Drosophila melanogaster: one gene and its partners. The protein of the gene in region 1 interacts with the protein of each later gene in a pairwise test. Each region holds a gene or a part of one and is shown in the gene's direction. Other genes may lie near its edges.

Evidence for each region. Proteins that work in one complex are often made in the same cells at the same time.
Region 2: the proteins of Adk3 (region 1) and tgy interact in a two-hybrid assay, tested with the Drosophila melanogaster proteins (one large-scale study listed by BioGRID).
Region 3: the proteins of Adk3 (region 1) and Theg interact in a two-hybrid assay, tested with the Drosophila melanogaster proteins (one large-scale study listed by BioGRID).

What each region holds. Positions count from the first base shown.
Region 1 is NT_033778.4:7,241,302-7,249,121, reverse strand, and holds Adk3 (adenosine kinase 3), read left to right. Parts: upstream 1-3,345; 5' UTR 3,346-3,820; coding exon 3,821-3,900; intron 3,901-3,978; coding exon 3,979-4,134; intron 4,135-4,606; coding exon 4,607-5,471; 3' UTR 5,472-6,098; downstream 6,099-7,820.
Region 2 is NC_004354.4:19,123,190-19,130,672, reverse strand, and holds tgy (twiggy), read left to right. Parts: upstream 1-3,356; 5' UTR 3,357-3,368; coding exon 3,369-3,913; intron 3,914-4,209; coding exon 4,210-4,318; intron 4,319-4,385; coding exon 4,386-4,667; intron 4,668-5,028; coding exon 5,029-5,214; 3' UTR 5,215-5,670; downstream 5,671-7,483. Other genes in the region: CG15882 (uncharacterized protein), read left to right, coding at 6,397-6,873.
Region 3 is NT_033777.3:22,011,618-22,018,025, forward strand, and holds Theg (testicular haploid expressed gene), read left to right. Parts: upstream 1-3,079; 5' UTR 3,080-3,210; coding exon 3,211-3,689; intron 3,690-3,762; coding exon 3,763-3,862; intron 3,863-3,923; coding exon 3,924-4,143; intron 4,144-4,209; coding exon 4,210-4,472; 3' UTR 4,473-4,595; downstream 4,596-6,408. Other genes in the region: Idh3b (isocitrate dehydrogenase 3b), read right to left, coding at 5,371-5,601, 5,724-6,305, 6,363-6,408.

The sequences.
Region 1 (7,820 bases):
CCGCCTGAGAATTCCACTGAATTTCATCAGAAATGCGAGAGCGAGAGCTTTTTAGGGGGGCTCGCTCTCCCGCTCTTGCGCTCTTTCAGCCAAATCGGGTTTTTTCATTACTTTTTTTGGGATCCGAAAGATTTCCGTTGATGTCGCGGCAATTAGCAGATTGGGGGTTTCTTTCCATCACACCCAAACTGCAATCTGCAGTTTTGGACGCTCCAAATGGGGTCAGGAAACTTGGCTCCCCCGGAAACTCGGCTCTCCCACTCGCAAAGGCAGGGAAAGTGTCTCCCTTAAGTAAGAGCTTCGCTTTCATTATCTTTCGCGCGAAAAAATCGTGTGCGAACATGCTTTGAGTAAATCGCAATTTGCTCATCAAAATTCGAACAAAAATTCGTAAATAAATTTCACTTGAACGGTTTTCTTAAATTTAGTACATACATTTCGCCAGAACCCCGTGAATGGACCACTAATACCTGATGGCTGATGGCGAGCAACAGGTCCAAGTGTGTCGCATCTCGGCGACCAACGCGACGTATGCGCAACTCGCGTATACTAGGCGTATGATTAACGAATGACCTTACTTACCCAAGTTAACCCGAATTTTATTTCTGGCCAGGCTTCGCACGATCTTATTCTTTTTGCATTTGGCCAGACGGCCGGACAAACAGAATCGCATGTCCAAACACAAAGGGAGTTGCTAATCAATTTATCGCGGCATTCCAATTTTAAATTCCCCCCCTCCGCGCTGCACATTCGGCACGTGGGAACGTGTCGGAATCGCCAGTCGAGATCGCCACTGAGTTTTATCAATTGAACCCGAGAACTACGCCATCCGGCGGAATTTCCAGCTCGCTTCTCCTAAGGGGTTCAACTACCGCTGGCCGTGCACTTTAGTAATTAATTATTACTTTAATCGCCGAATCAGCATAGGTTCGCAGGTTTTGTTAAGGCTATAAATAGCACCTGAAAATCGATGCCTACATATGTATGTACATACATACATACATGTGTTTTGGTTTTTTGGAGTTGAACAAACTGCTGAGCGTGCAGCGTAGAATTGAAAACAATTCCTGGGCAGCTGCAGCATGTAATTCAGCAAGATTTACGACAAAAAAAGTAAAAAGCTATGAAAAGTATACAACCCTAAAGAAGGCAAAATAAGAAGGGTTATATTTAGGTTAAGATCACTTGTTTTCATCTGTGCATCTGGGCAGGTGATATGTTTAACTCAACCCAACCAAGCTGATAGTCAGCCCATGATCATAACAATAACATATGTATGTAAATATGTACATATATATGTGCATGCAATTTGAAGAAGCTTCTGGTCTTTCAATAACATACTACTATGATTAAGAGTAGGGTGATTCGAATTACTGACCTATGCATGTATTTAGACCCGAAAACATAAACAACTGTCGTGCTTATGAGGGGCATACCTGTAGTAAGTGGATCAGCCGCGGAAGTGCTGAAAGTTGGAAATCGCCGACTCAGCTACGAATTTGCGCGCCAAATTCGCCTCGAAAGTGGCCAATGAACCGCGGAAATGCAGTGGCATTTTGGGGGTTTTCTAGCTAAAACCGGACAGACATCATTGGTCATCTGTTCGCCCAATACTTGTAATTATGAAAATATCATTATAAAAAGCATATTTTATATTTGTTATGCTTAATAATTGACCCATTCATAAAAATTATACGCATATACGCAAATTATACTAATCGTAGTACTTAAAAATTGCTTATTTTACCGTTTCTAACCCCATGTGATATTTTTCAAGATAATCATACTAGTGAGTACCATTTTAGCTTGTTTTATAACAAATATGCATATCTATTACTTAAATACGCATTTGCAGTGACAGAAAATAAAACTATTGCCTTGTCATTCCAGCGCGGAATTCGAGTTGTCACAAGTGCATAAAGGGCACCACTACAGCATTTTCTATTGCTGCGGCGAACGTGCGGATTAGAAGTTTTGGTTCTTCATCCAGCTTGATCCGCACGTCACAATCGAACCCAAGGAATTCAGATATTTTTAGCCTTTTGCGTGGGACTTCAATGGCACCTCTGCCCGTTGCTTTTGTGTGCCATGCCACCCAGTTGTGTGTGCAACATGCGCCCATCACATGTGAAGCCACCACATTGGATGGATTTCATTGCTGGCTTATTTCGAGGGAGAATCGTGGAGCCCACGGAGTGATCGGGCATGGATCGGAGGCACTTCGCCGGCGGTTGCCCCACTGCTGAGTCACGCCGGCGCAGCACTAAACTGGGCCCAAACCCAAACCGAAACCCAAATGCCAAGCGAAGAGCCAAATGAGTCAAAGAGTCAAAAGAGAGTGGGAACTGGTTTTTGAAGAGTTCCCCCACATTCGGCATTCGGCTATCGGCATTCCATTTTAGGCCGGTCCAAAGTCCGCAAGTCTGAGTACCTGCAACCGGTCACCAAGCCACCATGAATGGCCGATGAATGCCGCCCGAATCCTCACGTGCACCAGCATCACGCTGGAAAACGAGATATCTCGCGCCGGCGTGGAGGTCTCCAAGGTGCAATTTTGTATGCAGTGCGGCTATGCTGGGGGATTTCCCATTTGGCTGCGATTGGCTGCAGGGAAAACCCAGTTTCCAAAAGAGTTCTCTGCGAAAAACCCCCAATGCAGTGCAGTTTATTTTTTCGATGCGTGGTTTTTCCCACTCCAAACCAGATACCATAATGTATTCTCTTATTTATCGTGGGGCTTTTGGCAAGGGAGTTTCGGTTATCTGAGCGAGCAACGTTCTTTCCAAATAATTAGGTCTTGTCTCGCATTAAATAATATTGCGAAACATTTGGCAGCGCCTTTCGAATAATGGCGAAATGATTCAGCTGCTCGCTGGTGGGCAGATGTACATCACTTGCAGGGCTGAATTCTTTGCACGATGGTAAACTTGTTTTGAGAACCTGGTGAAATTAAAAAAAAAGGAGGGCAAACAAAGCTGAAACTGAAAGAAAGCCATAACATTTCCGCAAAATGTGTGTATTTCGTTATATATTCCAATTGTAAGGTTCTCTACTTTTTAAAGAGTTGTTACTAGAGCTCAGGTAATTTCAATGTATATGTTTACAGATACTTCGATTTTTATTTATTTACAAAGAAAATTTTTAAAATTTCTATCTGACATAACCGGTTCGATTTGTTCGCGCCGGATGACAGCTCTGTCAAGTTCTCTCTGGCTCTTTCGATTCCTAAGCTTTTACCCGATTAGTGCTTTTTTCGCCGGCAGAGCTTTTCTTGCACTCAATTATGCTTCTTCTTCCCTGTAAACAAAACACGCTCACAGCTGTTTCTTCCGCACTGAAGTGTTGGCAAACGTCTGAATATTACACGCAATATTTATGTAATACGCTAAACAATTAAGTCGCATAAATTATAAAATAGTCATTAGGGATAACTCGATGGCATTTGTGGAGCGCGACTTTGAGTCACCATAGTGCCGCCGCCAAGTACGATAGCCACAATCTGAGCGCCAGCGCAGTGCCAAAAGCTCTGTGTTGTTGAAAAACTCGACAAAGTCAAAAAAGTCGAAAAAGTCAAGCTGCTCTTTGTAGGCCGCTCGATACAAAGGTAAAAAGAAGTTGGCCCAAACAAATTGCCCGAAATGGGAAAAAACAAATCGAGCACGCTGGCGAGAGCGAGATAAAAACACCGGGACAAACCGGCCCGAGCGTTCAGTTCTGTGCCGGACGACAAAAGCGGCGGATCACTGTTGGATTTCATTTCATCCGGAGCACTTGCGAATAGAACGCGAAAGTCCCGAGCAAGCGTTAGTTTTTGCATACAATGGAGTACCTGAGCTACGTGTACGAAAAAATCTTCGGGGGCAATCCTCCCACGGATGACACGCAAGGGGCTTTCCACACGTGAGTATCAGCAGTAGCAGCTGAGGCGGAAAAACCCGGCAGAAAACACCTCTGACCATTGGGCTTTCCCACTTTCAGGCCCCGCAAGGTCATCTGCTTCGGCAACGTCCTGCTCGACCGACTAGTCCAGCTCGAGGATCCCCAACTCCTGGAGCGGTTCGGCCTGGAACTGGGCTCCAAGGGTGAACTGGACATGGAGAAACTCAACCAGCTGGCAGCGGAGGCTTCTGAGAGGTGAGTACCTTTGTATCTTGCCCGATTGTTTCATTATCTTCAATGACTGATTGTAAGAAATTGTACAATTGGACCCAAGTTATGGTTTTTAGTTAGACTGATTTTACATATAAGTAGTATAGTTAAGGTCTTGCAAGTATAATTAGTATCACCTTTCAAAGAAATTGTGAAAAGATACAAAGAATGAACAACAAATAGGACTGGGGCTACAAAGGCTGTTTATACATAGCACTTTTGTACACAACAATCAATCTTTACTTAAGAAGTTAAGAAGGGCCTTCTTTCTAATCTCTAATGACAGCAAAACTGGTTTTTATACCTGTACGAAATCGTCTTACGAAGTAGGAAATGGAAAATGGCAAAGTTACACGGTTATTCTAAAATTACAAGGGTTTAGTTAGTAACTACATACATACATAATAAACAACCTTTGCAAAGCTATACTTACTAATCCGAGTTCAATCCAATTCAGCTCTCGGTGCCTTACAAACCCGGGTGGCTCTGCCCTCAACACTGCCCGCATCCTGAAGCAGCTGGGCACAGACGCGCTCTTCTTTGGCGCCGTGGGAGCCGACAAGCACGCCGAGGAGCTGCGCCAGATCATTCGGGATCGCGGCATCGAGGCCAGGCTGCAGACCGTCGAGGATGCGCACACAGGGCAGTGCGTGTGCCTCATGTATCAGGACAACCCCACGCTGTACGCCAACATCGGCGCCTCGGCTCAGTTCGAGGTGCAGACCCTGAGCCACGCCGTCAGCCACGAAGGCCAGAGCTTCCTGCGACCGGTGGAGCGCAAGCAAATCCTGTACGTGGAGGGCTTCTTTGTGCCCCAGAGGAGTGATGTGTGCGATTACATAGTGCAGCACCTGGTGCGGGAGCGGCGACGCCTGGCTCTCAATCTCAGTGCACCCTACATTGTGAGGAAAAATCACCAGGCTATGATGAAGCTGGCCCGGGCCGCCTTCTTCCTGTTCGGAAACCGACAGGAGTTCGAGGCGCTGGCCGAGGCTGCGGGTGGGTTCCGAAACGTCGACGAACTGGCGGATCATCTCCTGCAATCCGGTGGCACCAAGGTCATCTTCGTCACCAACGGCAGTGCCGGCGTCCAGGTGATCACCAACTACGTGGAGGAGCTGGCTCCTCCCGGACCCGTAAGCTTTGAGGACTTCAGGGCGCAGCGCGTAGAGCAGCTGGTGGATGCCACTGGGGCCGGAGATGCTTTTGTGGCCGGATTCTTGCACGCCTGGCTGGAGAAGCGCTCGCTGGGCGAGTGCATCCGAATGGCCTCCAGCGTAGCCGCCAAGGTCGTCACCCAGGTGGGCTGCAATCTGCCCTAGACCGACGCCGTGCATCGCCACCTCAGATAGCGCACAACAAAGCACCAAAGTAGACTCTTAGCTTGTAATTATTCCGGTAATCTCCCCAAACCTTAGGCTTAGTCAAACATTTGTCCACCATTTCACCCAAGCAATGAACTTAGTCATAATGTGACTAAATAAAAATGATTTATACATCGTCCTATGAAAGATAATAATATTTCTGAGTGACTATATGTGACTACATTTTATAATATATATAGCGAGATTCCTATTGTATGCAATTTTTTAACATTTAAATATCTTTTGATAGTTCTATGTAAACAGATGTTGCTTTCTCAAAAGACAAAACAGATTTATCTAAAACCAGTACATATGTATCTATTTGTAGCACATTGCCATTAAGAATTTGCGTTGACCTTCAGAAGAGCGCAAAGATAAAAAGTGAAATAGGGTAAAATGTGCCCACGTCTAATCAAGCCATGCCATGAAATCACCGGAAGACTCTTTTTAATGGTTAAATATAGATTCGAGAGCATTGTTTTGCGCACAGTGGGTTGAATGCTTACAAATTATTAATTTCGCTGTAATACTTTCTTAGATATACCATTATTCATACTTCATTATTTGAGCAAACATAAGTAAATCATTTTTGACACAGGCCGTCGTTATTTAGGTATACCTTTATATGTAAAATCACGTATTAATTATTCATTAAGAAATGAGAGCATATATATAAAAAAGTAAGTACAGCTGGTGATTGTTCGACCTCGATAGCCTTATTAATACGACTGTGTTATTCACTCGATCGCCGAAGTTCCCACTGGACTGTGGCATTGTGTGAATCGTCATCCGAATCCGTTATCACACACTTAATTCCCCCTGAGATGCCCTAGTACACATCTTTATGCGCATTCCTCGAGATGCTTTATTATCCGCAAAGAAGCGATTCTCGTTTCATCCATCTTATATGGACCGCGTACATCCCACACAAGTCAGTCAATAAGTGACGACTTGGCCCAAAGAGAACTCGCATGCACAGATGCCATCAAAGCGAATTCCGCCTTTGTGCTGGCCGTGGGGTTTGGCTTGGGGTTTGGGCCACATGTTTGCGAATCGTTAACAAAAACTAAGCCGCATTTGGCATGCTTGTGTAAGCAGGCCAAGGCCTGGGCCTCTCCCAGCTGCTGCCGGAGGAGGAGTTGTGGACGGGAAGCTCTCGAAACCATAAAGAAGTCCGGGCTTAGGCCGAAAGCAATTCCGCACTTTAAAGGCCAATTCCCGGATCAGCGTAGTGAGCTGGCTAATTGGCAAGGAGCCGCTTAAGAGAGCCAAGTGGCAGTGGCAAAGTCAATATTGACACACCCACCCACCTAATCGAGTGTATCGGGGTTTTGGTGTCCCACCTACTTAAGTCTCAGCACTCGCCCTGTTAATTACTCGATATTAATTTTATAGAGAACCCTTCCTTCCACGCCACTTCGATTGCCTTCTATGCTGTGGCCATTGGGTTGGCCAACGCCAGTCCTTTGTCGGGTCCGTAATTAATGTCATCGTGTGGTTTACGGGGTTAGCAGCCACTCGGGCAACCCCCCTCCCTTCGATGTCTGCGTGTGGGTAATGGCCGATTTCAGACTATCCCAAGGCTTGACTGAGATCCTCGCCAGCATGTGATAATTAAATGTCCTCATTTGCCCTGTTTAGCATTTTAATTTACAATAAATTGTGCTTCGGAAGCGGCTGCCTTCTAGGTAATCAACGAAGGAGTACACTAAGAGAAAAAGATATCTTAAATAGTTATATAGTTCCAGCAGCAAGAAATTTGTAAAACTAACTAATATATTCTTAAATGTTCGATGATGCTAAGACTTTAAAATATAAGAAATTGCCTAATCTCTTAGGAGTTAAAATAGTTTCTGCTTAGCTGAACTACGTGATTGAGTCCGTTTTCTTTCAGTGTAGAAAATGCACAAAAGCTTTTTGCGACCCATTTGATTTATGTGCAACGCTGCGTATGAGCAACCAAATGGGGCAGCTGTAACTGACATTGCATATTTGTCCTCCCACTGCCCTTGTCCCTCGCCCCTCACCCCACACATCCCCCTGTCCCCACTAACTACCTCTGTGGAGCATGTTTGCACAAAATATTGCGCATACGCCGCCAGTGGCCAACCTTCTTTGCCGCTCGGTTTTGTCCTTTTGCCTTTTGCGGCATAACGCGCGGTTAAGTGGCCATAATGTGTGCCTTTATGGGCTTGGCATTGGCATTGGCATCGGACTCCTTTTTGGCTTGGTAACTTGGTGGCTTGGCGGCCCTTGCCCCATTTTAATTCCTTTGCCATATTTGCTGAGCCAGCATTGTTGCTGAAT
Region 2 (7,483 bases), on another chromosome or scaffold:
TTATGCTTATGAGATATATTGCTGCATACATACTGCATAACACTTCCACTGATGGATATTGCACAATGTTTAGCTATGGAAAGCGCATTTCAAATCTGCCTAACAATATGAGCCACCCTACTTCCTTACGTGTGTTTTGGATGGACCGTTGTCATATCAGTGAGCTAAAAGTAACCGCACGGTGCTCACAAGTATGCAATGGCATTGGCCTCCCCCCTGCAGCGAAGGACTTCGGGAGGGTGGAGGACCAGCTCCCGGATCCAGGGAAATTCGCAGATCGCAGGTCCCAAGTCCCGGCCACCGGATCCGAGCCCCAGTTCCATGTGCATTGGCATTGGCGGCGCCCGTCAGCGTTTTCATTTCAAATTCAAATGCTGTTTGCATAAAAAACGAGCCAAGACATCGAAAGGCATCACGTGCCCAGGAGTCGGTTCCTCCTCGCTCCATCCCAGTGGAATGTGGGGCCAAAAAACAAAAAAAAACTGCTGGAATTCAGTAGTGACAATAGCAACAAACGGATGCCGACAGCGATATATGAACGAGCAGTGGATGCACAAGAAAAAAATCATTTTAAAAATTATTATATGGAATTATATTGAGTGAATGGTATTTAATATATTCGATTCGTTTTTTATGAGAAAGTATGTTTTCAGGAACTAATCTATCTATACATATAAATATATTATGCTATGAAATAAGGTTTAACATGATTTTATGATATTTGTCTAAAGTAGTAATATTTACTTAAAAACTATTTGAGCAGTTGGCAAAAGGATTTATTAAATTCTCCAGCAAACAATATGAATAATAATAGTGCTTATTAGTTCTTATTTATTCAGTTAAGTTTCAAAATAGTACAAAATATGAGTGTGGTTCGCAGAGCCATCCAATTGAGTGGGTTAAGTGGGTGGAGTGCAGCACTGGTGTCGTTGGCCTCCAAATCCAACAAAAAAAAAAAATCGAATCGAAATAGCGAAAGACGTTTCACTGTGGCGGAAGTGAGATGAGTTGAGGTTCAGAGCGGGATGGCTGGAGGACAGCCAGCTGCCGGTCGTTTTGCATGTCCGTGTTGGGTTAAGTGGATTGTTTACTTTGATTACAAAAATATGGCAAATGTTTGCACGTTTGATGTCTCACTGCGTGTGTGTGTGTGTGTGTGTGTGTGTGTTCGTCGGTGTGCTTACGTGTGCATGTGTGTGGCGCAGACACATGCATTGGTTGGTAGTGGTGGTGGTGGGAGTGAGAGAGAGAATGAGCGATCTTGATTATATAGAATCTTAGATTGATTTCACAAAATATCCTATCTTATCAATCATTTTTCATGCATTTTTCTTAAGTTTGACTTTTTTCAAAAATGTGCTCAGTTCAGTTGTGTTTGAATACTTCAATTTATTCAAGATGAATCTTTTCACGCGGTCATCTCCATGGCAAACAATGCACACACACACACTCATATTTACATACAGAACGAAAGAAAGAGATGGAAAGGAGCGAATGAGACGGGGAGAAGTACATTCAGGCAGCGAGACAAATGGCGTTTGCCTTGGCGCGCTTGTAAAATCCGAAAGCTAACATTATTACAAAAAATCTGCAGTTATACATTTGACTTTGGTTTATTTTTGTGATTTGCCCAGTTTGCAGTTGACCAACCAACCGACCGACCATCGCAGGACTGCCTGTTTGGCTGAGTTTTTATTGTATTGAGGCTGCGGGAACCAGATGGAAAGGAACTGTTGATTGTGGGGCCAGTGTCGGCCGAAAAGATGGGATTGAAAGGGGGGGGGGGGGAGAGTTAGGAAATGGGATAGGTCAGGAGAGAGGAGACAGGATCCAGCTTCTTTTGTCCTTTAAATTGAATTGCCACCGAAGTTGCAGGGCAAAATAGTTGAACCGACATTAAACAATGGAAGAACGCGTTAAGTGGTTCTTACATACATACATTTAAAGTAAATTGTACCGGGAAAGTAATGGAGTCTCCTCCGCTGGCCAACGCCCATGGTCGGGCGGACCCACAGCCCATGTGGGTCACGTCATCGGAAAGGTCAAAGGCATTTATCAGGCCCACTTGGCACCCACTCCTATTTGCATTTCATGTTGAACTGTTTGCCCAGGCCAAAACTAATTTTGACATTCGAAGAGAAAAAAATGCGCGAGCAAAGCCGCCGCTTTTATTGGAAAAATTTGTATTTGTTTGGGCAATGGGCAATGGTAGAAATGGTAGCTGGTTTCTGCTTGCTGGTGGCAAATCGCAGCGGGGTCACACGCCCACAATGCCAAATAGTTTTCATTCTTAGCCGCTACTCCTCACCGCCGCTGGCTGCATTTTATTTTATTAATGGGAATTTGTTTGCCAGCGCAGGCGGATTGGATGGTTACGGGGCGCGGGGTGTAGGATGCGTCCAGGATGCGACCAGGATGCGACCAGGATGCCGCCTCGTCGCTATTATGGCAGCCATTTGTTTGCACGCGAGCATCCGAGTGCCGGAGCGTCGGAGTGCTGGAGTGCCCCACAGGGCGTATGCGCTATATTATTTTTCCCGCACTGCTGGCGGTCCTTGCCAGTGTGCCACGCCCACGCCTTAGTCCCCCCCCATCTTGGCAACGCCACTGAAAAGCGTCCAGCAACGACCACATGTCGCTCATGATTAATTGAAAGATTCTCTCAACTTCAACTGTTTTCGGGTTTTGCGTTCACCCAACCCCCCCCCTTTTAGAACTCACTTTTTTATTATTTCTATATTTTTCCTTTCGAGGTGCTTGTTGCTCTGTGTGCTTGTCCCAAGTGTTTTGATTAATGAACTATGCTGAGTGAAATTTAAACAAATTTCTTAGTACAATCCAAGCTGGCAAGCAATTAGTTTGGACCACTAAAGTTTTTAGAGTTTTTAAATAGATAGTGGCTTTTGGTACCTCTCTAAGCAGCTTAACTGTTACTCAATAATATATCAATATAATATTTATGATTGTGGATCAGGAAATACGCGCAATTAATTACATTAATTGTTTATTTATTTTTGTCTACTGTTTGCCACATGTACGAGTATATGTTTTTTTTTTTTAAATAAGGATTTCCATTCACCTAGAAACCATATCAATTAGTGTATTGCTATTTCCGCAGCTCTGGTGCAACTTTCACTCACTCATTTTAACTCTGTTCTGTGCATGTTACTCCCTCTCCCTCCCTCTCTCTCTCTCTCTCTCTTTCAACCTAGTAATAAGACTAATTGAGCGCACCTGCTCGTCGATGTTCCCGACATAAGTATTAGTTCTGCCAGCCACCTTGTCTAATCTGGGCCGCATTTTCCCGGCGATAAGACCATTTTCGATTGGTATAGACAGTGCTTACGATGCCGCAAGTCAGTGTTTCAATGGCCGGGGAATATATCATACTGGAGAACTCGTCGACTTATCCGGGCTTCCATTCCAGTTCCAACGGATTGGCGAATGGCATGTACCGCTCCGCCCAGCGCATCTCCACCGATCGCCTGGTCCTGCTCATTCTGCTGGTGAGCACCACGGTGATCGGGCTGTTTGCCTACTGGGATGTAATGGTGCTCAACGCCGGCGCACTGCCACTGTCCAGAGGCACTAGCTCTGTTGATTACATGGAGCCTGGACTGCGCAACGAAACCCTGGCCGAGAAGATGCATCGGGAGGTGAGAGTCCTGTGCTGGGTGCTCACCACACCCAAATACCACAAGACCCGGGCCATTCACGTTTTGCGAACGTGGGGCAAACGCTGCAATAAGATCTACTTCATGACCTCTGAGCCGGATGACGAGCTGCCCACCGTTGTGCTGACCAAGCCGGACCGATACGAGATGCTGTGGGGCAAGACCAAAGAGGCCTTTGTCCACATCCACGAGCAGATGCGCCACGAGGCGGATTGGTTCATAAAGGCGGACGACGACACGTATGTGAAAGATTCAGATTCTTAAATAGGGAAAGAGTGGCATTTTATTGCAGGAATTGATAAGTGAATGGATGGTTGTTTTCGTCACCACAGATACACGTACATATGTATATATGTATGTATGTATTTATTGAACATTATTATCATTCTGTTTTACCTTTGTGGTGTAACTACTGATGGTATCTCAATGTTAGGGCCACAGCCAAAACAGTTGAATGAAGAATAATTAGGAACCGATAAAGAAAAGATAGCATTATTAAAGTTTGACTGAACTTTCAATCTGCTCCTATCAATAGCTACCTCTTTTTGGAAAATCTGCGCTACATGCTCTACCCGTATTCACCGGAGACACCTATTTATTTTGGATTTAATTACAAGATGGTCGGCACTCACCAGAAGAACGAGGTGAGTTTATCTTCTGTCCGGTTCGGATTACATTACAAACTCACTGAATATGAATCCGATTCAATAGTCATACATGTCCGGCGGCAGTGGCTACGTACTGAGCCGCGAGGCTCTTAGGATCTTCGCCGAGGGCGTCAACGACACCACCAAGTGTCGCCAGGAGGACGATCACGCCGAGGACGTCGAGATGGGCAAGTGCCTGTTCAACCTGGGCGTGAAGGCGGGTGATTCCAGGGACGAGCAGCTGCGCAACCGCTTCTATCCCATAGCTCCTTATGGAGCCCTTCTCTCGGGCAACGTTGGCATGGACTTTTGGTTGTACAAGTACGCCTACTACAATCCGAGATCGGTGAGTTTGGATGCATTTAGCACCCTACTAAAAGTACGTTTGTATGTATGTAGATATATGAATGAATGCACAGCTTACCCATCCAGTACCTTTTAACAATCCAGCAAAATAGAAAATAAACTCAAGTGTCACAAAGACAACGCCATATTTTGCCAAGCACTCATATTATTTAGTCGAACGTAATCATCATTCTTCGTTACCAGAAAGGTGGTGGTAAGGTGCGTTCGTCACTGGCTTATAACCGCGTGAGGAGGCATTTTATCTTTGATATTCAAGCCTCAACGTATAGTTTTTCCACCTTCGTATTCGCATTCCTTGTCCTCTTTTGATTATTATCTAAACTATCTTCGTATTCTTGCAGTGCATGGACTGCCTGTCGGAGTACCCGGTGGCCTTTCACTATGTGCACAGCAAGCAGCTGTACGTGTACGACTACTTCAACTACCAGTTCCAGCTCTCCGGAAGGGCGCAGGTGGCGGAACGGCTGCCCAAGAAGATCCGGGAGGAGGAGCTGGTCATCCCCGAGAGCGACAATCCGGTGTCCTAGGCAGGAGCCAGCCATTCTGCCACTTCAGCAGCAGCAATCTCAAGTCCATATCTACATATTTTCCATCCTTTTTTTTTTGTGTGTGCTTATCGTGTATTTAATATATTATGGGCACAAGGCGAACGTGCCAAGGCTGCCAGATGCTGTCCTGTTGCGACTCCTTGTCCTTGCCCGATCCACGTCCTAGTTTATCTATTCATGTATTTATTATTGAGCAGCTCGTGGCAGACGGGCCACACGAAGGCATTAAAAGGATAATGGAGGGCTACTGGGTGGACATTTACTCTTGATTTCCAATGAGGATTTCAAAAAGTTGCATATCTAGAAAAATGAATTAGTCGCAACTATAATGGTATGGCTGCACTATTAACATTGTAAGTGTACGTACGAAATGACTGCAATCTCTGATCTGTTGAATGGTACAAATTAGAGTTGCCAGCTTGAACTTTGTTATGCCATAATAATCTTAAACTCTATAAATGATTGGCTTTACAACATATGTACGCAAGGAAAATAAACAGTTTTCTTTAGAAGCCTAAGGCGTATGAAATGGTTATACTTCTTGTACAGTTTTCAACAATCTACAATGAGTAAATGAAATAATAATGGCCACGTGGCGTTGAGTGGCTTAACTTACCGCAACTTGTTTCAAACCCTGGTAACACCTTTTAACGTCATTGTGCAACACTAGTACTAGAAATCGAAAAGCAAGTACATATTTGTTACTTTAAGGCAAATGATCAAAAGAGTGATTTTACTACTGCTGACATTAAATATGTGGATTATTATATAAAACACTCGATTCGAAAAATCGAATTACTTAACTTTTAATACTGGAAATAAAAATGATCATAGAGCATATTATTTATAACAGAATGTGTATAGTTTTTTTTAAATTATTTTAGCATTGTATTGAGTACAGTCAAGTGTTCTTTGCAAAAGCTCTGTTCCTATTCGAATTTTTTTTTACACATGCGGGCACACTAATTGGTATTTAAGTATGCCCAGACTTTTAGATCCAGTTAATCAGCTATTCGTTGAATGATTCTCACTTTATCCTTTACTTTCTACACGATTCAAGTGAGCTATTGCGAAATAAATTAAAAAACCAACTTTTCAATCTTCTGGGAATATTGAATACTGAGGAAAACCCTAAATTGATTGCTGCCGAAACCCAGAAGGATGGAGAACATGAACAAAGAACTCGCGAATATGGAGAAACTATCTTTGAAGGAGCTGCTCAGTGAGGACACACTCTCTGAATTGGCTACCCCGAATGATGTCGACATTGCCGGCGAGGAAAAGAACCTCGAGGGTCAATCTGTTTCGAAGGAAGATCCACCGCCTGCGGCAGTTGTACCCAAAGCGACCAAAGCGCCCAATAATCCCGAAGCGCTAACCCAAAAGCAGAGTATGGACTATGCGGCACGGATCGTGAAGGTCATCAACCTACAGATGCAAAATGTGGTGCATAAAACGTTCATGATGATGCAATCACCACTCCCTCTCCGGAACAGGCTACCAGTGGTCGTGTCCACCATGATCCGCTCCCGTAGGGCACCCAAGTTGAAGCTCAAAGATGTGAGGAGAGTGATCACGGGCCTGGCGCTGCATCGTGCACACCTGGTCTACGAATATATTATCAACCACCCCGAATAAGAAAACTTCTACATATGTTAACTTAATACAATAATTAAAAAATCCAAACACTCGCCGGCTCTAGTTTAGTTTAAAGTTCTATAGAACAAGGTTCATCGCACGCATACTACAATATATTACTGATGAATATTCAGCTAGTTTTGAACGTATTTGAAATATATTCGGCTCAAATTAGGCCTAAAGCTGATGCTTTTCAATTTATTAACTGAGGAGCCACTTCAGTTCAGTGGGTCACTATTACAATTATTCATTGGCTTATCCCTATAAGTCCACTTCAGAGCACTTAAGTCTCATTCTCGCAGGCAGCTAATTAAGGTCATCGCTCCCTGCGGCTCACCCCAAAAAATTTGGGTGAAACACTGGCATTCCAATAGTTCACATTCCCTGGGCTAATTAGGAAATTAGACTACCTACCGGCCGACATTTTGTGTTTCTTTGGAAAAGTCGGTAGAGTCGCGTCAAATGCGAATCGCATACGAATGGCAGTGGAATCAGAATGGAAATGCGAATTTTGCCTAAAATGCCGAGAAAAAATTGGACTAAAACACTTGCCGTAATGCGTGGTGTGCATTTTCCAAGGCAATCTGGCGAGTGGGGGCGGTGCTCCACA
Region 3 (6,408 bases), on another chromosome or scaffold:
GCAATAGAATCAGATATCAGATACAAAACTCAGAACCGGAAACAGGAAATCGTCAATCGCGAATCGGAAAAAAGAAGCAGCACCAAATCGAACTGCAAAGGCAAAACCCCAGTATATTAATAATGGGAAGAAAAACATAATGAATAAAACCAATTTTTATTTCAATTATTAACTTATAAACACAACAACAACAACCACAGCTCCACACAGTTACAGTTACAACAAGAACAACAACAATAGCCCTAGAAAATAATATTCATAATTAATCAATCAATCAATCCGTAAAACCAACAACTTCAATAGTTATAAGCAATTGGCGTCAAAAAAAAAAGCGAAAACAACCAAAATCTTAGCCAGGCAAAAGTTTTGAGCATATTTTTCATTATTTTTACAACAAACAAACAAACTGATGTAAGTACAATTCATAAAATTAGACTTTCGGTAAACTATAATAAAGAAAATAGAGCAGAAAATAACATTTTTTTTTTGCATTACATAATTGCTACAAAATTCAAAAACAAAGAACGATTTTTTAGTGGAAAACAAAAGCCAATAAGCAAATAAAAAGAATTCGCATTATTATTAGCAATAGCCCATAAGTACAGCAAAGTGTATTAGCAATAAAGCTAAAAAAAAAACACAAAAGCAGAGATTTTAAAAAGAAACATAAAAGTGAAGAAAAACTTAAAACTGCAAGAAAAATGTGAAACCAATTTGTTCTGCGTTGAAAAAGAAATCCAAAATAAATATGTTTTATTTGATAAGTAATTTATAAACATATTACAATTTCGCTTAATTTGATTAAATGTAATAAATACATTGTAAACCTTAAATTAATATTTACAACAGCAAAATTTCTGTTTAGTAAGGCGTGCATAATTGTTATTATATTTACACAGACACACATAACTAAGTTTAAGTTTATAATTTTCGTTATCTTTATTATTTACTTATTATGTTTTAAACGCAAAAACAAACCAGATATATACAATATATTTACGAATTAAAACGTTTATTAATAAAATGGAAAATATTTTAGTTAAACCATTCGTTTATCGTTTGCATTTATCATCAGCACAGGAGGCTCTCCGTTCACACACATTGCAGAATATAAGAAAAATCGAATATGAATATTAAATTAAGCACCGTCTAACAATTGCAACAAGATACTTAATACCATTATACGCAATAGTTATAATTGACAGATGACACGAAATATGAATAAACTGAACAATAGCCCAAAGTAAATATTGGCCATGGTAGCAGGTGGATAAAAACCCTAAGCCCTTCTAACGTGGCCAATATTTGCTCCATTTTCACATGCAAGAGATGAGCAACAACAACAACAACAACAACAATATCAATTGGCACTCAACAGATGCAATTCCCAACAACAACAACAACAACCATAACAACAACAACAATAAAAGGCAATTGAAACTTTAGTTTCGGTTAATTGAGTTTGATTTTTAGTTCAGTTCTTTAGTTGATTCTCACCACTTTCAAAAATATGTTTCGGCTCCAACCCACTTAAAAATTTTGAAATTTTCCGAACAAAAATCAAAAATGGCACCAACTACACAGACGAGCCAAAGGAATCGTACATCTAAACTCAACACAGCTTCAGGGACCAACTAAAAGGAGAAATGATTTAAACTTAAATTAATGAAATTACTAATGAAATCAATGGTAAATCAATACTAAAATGTAAACACACAAGCACACACGACGTGTGGCGTTGAAAACTAAAGCTAAATCAAGTTTTAAGGCATATCTTGAAGACGAGACGAAAAATCAAGTTAAAAATTGCGAACAAAAATTGTGAAAAACTATTGCAAAATTATGCAGACCCGGAAAATCGTATGTGTGTACATAAATGAAGGAGCAACCCTTTTGGTAATCTATATACATATATTATATACATTTAGCGTGTCAAAAAGTAAACCTAAACTTTAGATTCTAAAGCAACAAAAAAAATATCTAAATGCAGTGAAAACTTCAGGCCATGCAAACTTTGGATAAATTCTGATTAAAATTATATTTGTAAGTCAAAATCAAATGTATACGATATGAGAGGAAATTAACAAACTAAAACTGGATTAAGTGTAAAAAGAACATACATATTTCGATGGCAAGCAAAAAAAAAAAAAAATTGATTGAAAATGGAGAAAACCCCAATTTACATAGAACTAATTATTATTTCGCTTTGGCGTTGACCTTTTGTGTATATAAAAAAAAGCGAATGCCAAGTGGGATTCTCAACAAATCGAATATCAAATGAAAAAAAAAAACAAACAAACCAAATAAGGTAAATTCAAATTAGCAAAATTTTTGTCAACCAAAAAATGACCTAGTAAATGCTAAATTCAAATTTATAGTACATATTTGTGTATGGTATGAGTGTATTGCATAAGTTCGATGTGGGTGTATAACAATTATTATTAACATTATGCTTATCCCTTTCGTTTCCACGTTATGTACATTTTGTTCGCAAGACAAACGAATAAAAAAAAAACGATCAACAAATTTGAAGCCAATAATAATGAACAAATAAGAACATGTGCTGAACTGCTGAATTCCAATTGAATTGCAACCAGAGTAAGGAGATACATTACATTAACCGAAGCAAAAACATTGTAAAAAAGCATAAAAACCAACCGAAATCAGTTGAGAAGAACGTCAAGGAAACGGGCAAAAATTGCTTAAGAAATGGATGAGATTTGTGTATATGTGAACAGAATGAGCAAAAATAGAGGGTATACGTTAGCTGTCGGAGAGCAAACTAAAAAAATTAACAACTTGCCGATGGGACAGTCGGAAAACAAGGCCCAAAAACAAAACTATTAACTTGTAATGATGTGAACTTGGAGCATACTCTCAGTATTTTTATGAATACTGTCAATAAAACATTAATTAAAGATTAACAACGTCTTTTCATTGCCATCGGGGTTAAGTGGATAAAGCTTAATTTTGAAATTAAAATTCCAGCTTAGGTAAGTATTAAAAAATCTTGTCTAATAGCGAAAAATGTATGCATTTCATTTGCTGTCAAATTCCAAAATTTCTGTACTTAGTTGCCACAAAAAATTCTCCAGATGAAGTTAGCTTTCAACTCGTTCAGATAATCGTAGATGTTTTTTATCATAAGCGAATAAAAAAGTTAGCATTAATTGGTTTAAAGTAGTGCGTCAAAATTCGGAAATCCACAGAATGACCATCCAAGGACTGAAGTGTGACCTCAGCCCGACGGTGACCACTTGTCTGCAGCTGAAGGACTGCGTCCGTCCGGACTGCTGTCCCATCCGGGACCCCATTCCCTACGATGCCGAGTGCTTCGTTAGGGACATTGGCCAGGAGCTGGACAAACTGACGCGCCGACACGAGCGCATGTTCGTCAAGCGGCGGCGTCTGATGGAAATGGCCATACCCAGGCGACGCACCTGCCGCTTTGTGCCGAAATGCGCCTGCTCATTTCCCAAGTCCATCGAGATGGTGCGACCATGTGACGCCCAGAATCACACACGCACCGAGCAACTAGCTCTGCCCACGGTCCGTCGATTGCTTCACAGGCGGCGAACGGCCATTCTGGCGGGCGACTCAATTGGGGAGTCCATACTGAACAGATGGCTTCGCTACAGCTATCTATCGCTGTACAGTCGTCTCACGAATATCCAGCCGTTGGTTAAGCCGTAAGATAATATATCTATCTATCTTATGTTCATTCATTATTATTTATAAACCCATTATCCTTTGTGCTTGCAGGAAGAAAAAGAAGAAGAAGACGGAGAAGCAGCTGGCTAAGCACGAGAAGTACATCGAAAAGTTGGCGAAACCAAAGAAAGCACCAAAGGTCCCGAAACCGGTAAGTTAAAAAAAAAACTAAATTCAGCTAAAAACTGATGATAATCCCCCATTTCATTTAGGATCGTGGAGCTGGGGAGTTCGATCCCGTGCGTCTCAATCAGCTGGCCAGTCCCAAGGCCTATTTGGAGGAGATCAAACCCAAGTGGGAGCTGACCTCCCAGATGAAGGACTACAAGGCGACCAAGCGGATCAAGCAAATATCGCAGCCCGTCGTGCGCGATAATGTCCACATCAACGAGAATCCGGAGAAGGTCTCGCCCAATGCCCTTCGCTACAAGCGTAAGTACACATACTCCAATTTAGTTGATCTTTTAATAATGCAGCACCTGGCATTGCTTCACTTAGCGAGTGCCCGCATCAAGGAGATGTCCGAGCCACTTACCACGCGCGATGCCAACCAAGGACTGGCGGATGTCAAGGAGAATCCATTCGGTATCGCGCCAAACGCGCTCAAATACAAGGCGAGCACGCGGATCAAGGAGCTGGCGGAGCCCAAGGAGTTCGAGAACACGCATATCCGGGAGAATCCGTTTGCCATATCGCCGGCGGCTCTGAAGGCCAAAGCCTCGCCACGCCTCATCGAGTTGGCCAAGCCCAAGGGTGGATAATAATTGGAGACGGACGTGGACTGTGCGTCTGGATAATCATTACCGTCCTTATTGGTGTTCTAAGTTTTTCATTTCGGCTACATTTGGTATCGACTTTTCTAATAAATTTGTTTTTGGTTTTTTAAAAAACAACTAGAGCTTTTCCGGCTCTTTACGGGATTGGATTTCCTGTGAAAGTGGCGCCGGAGTTGGGAATAGCGATGAAATCTCCTTTGGCCTTTCATTCCAGTCAAAAAAAAGTTTGAGAAATATGTTTGGGTTTTTTTTTTTATCTTTTGTTTGTATTACTTAAAATTTAGACAGCTCGGAACTGACAATGGCTTTTAAATAATAATTAATTTAGATTTGAGTTTATTGTTATCTTTCTCACAGCTCCAGTGGAGTGGGTCCACTCAAAGCCATCCGTTATCAGTTAATTGGTTTAGCAATATCATTTGTTTTCGGTTTTTTTTTTTGTTTTGCTTTTCAACGGGTTAAACATAAAATATAATTCGACCGTAAATTAGCATCTTTGCGAAATCAAAAAGGGGGGGGGGGGGAAATAATACGTAAATAATTACAACATAATCAAGGATCGATGTATTACTGCCAATTGGTAAAACTAAAGAATTCGCAACTTTTGGATTCGGGGCGGGTCTGCAGGCGTTTCAATTGGACTAAACTTAAATATTCGCCGGAAATAATACTCAAATGAATGCACTGAAGACATCGGGACAAATAAAAAAAATTGGACGTAATAGGATAACTAAGAACTTTCAAGGTGTTTCTTTCAACAATTCAAAATTTAGCTGTGGCAACAACAGAAACTGTCTAATGTCGATTATATAAGCGCCAACGTTGTTGCCCATGATGTTGTAGACTTGCTGATCGCGATGCCGGCGATGACAGTGGTGCCCATCTAGGACATGTTCAGGATGATGGCGCGGGTAAAGTCCTGCGTGGTCGATTGTCCGCCCAGATCCTTAGTACGCACCTTGCCATCGTTCAGCACCTTGTTGATGGCATTCTGGATGATCTCGCCGTAGGTGGGCAGGTTGATGTGGCGCAACAGCTTCACGCCGCAGAGCAGCATGGCAGTGGGATTAGCCACGTTCTTGCCCACGGCCTCGGCGAAGGTGTGACGTGCACCCTGCAATCGGAAATCGGTATTAGAGATAAGAATAGTCTGAAGTGGATTCGCACAGCTAGGCTCGAGAACCGTGTAAATCACGATCTTATGGATTATCTTTATGTCTTTATGGCGAATCTTACCGGCTCAAAGACGACGGATTCCGAGGAGTAGGAGGCACCAGCAACGACACCAGCACCGCCCACGAGACCACTGGCCAGATTGTCCACAATGGCACCATAGAGATTGGGGGTGACCATCACGTCGAACTGGTTGGGATTGGAAACCATCTGCATGGTCGTGTTGTCCACGATCATCTTCTCAAACTGGATGCGCGGATAGAGCCGGGAAACCTCTTCGCAGGAGCGTAGGAAGAGACCGTCGCCCAACTTCATGATATTCGCCTTGTGCACGGCGGTGACCTTCTTGCGCTGATTCTTCGTCGCATAGTCGAAGGCGAACTTGGCAATGCGCATGGACTTTTTGGCGGTGATAATCTTCAGGCACTCCACAATGCCGGGCACCGACTCGTGCTCCAACGCCGAATACTCGCCCTCCGTCTGCTCGCGAATAATCACCGTGTCGATGTTGGTGTGGCGGGTCTTGACACCGGGCAAGCTGCGCACATGCACCACATTGGCGTAGAGGTCCAGGTCGTTGCGAAGCTTCATGTTAAGGGTCTGCAGGTCACCCACATTGCTGTAGTCGGGTGTGGCCAAAACGCCCTGAAGGAGCACATTGTTTAGATTTTATCACACTATTTTATTTTCTTGCAAACTTACCTTAATGCACACTTTGTTTTTCTGAATGGATGCCACCACATCCTCC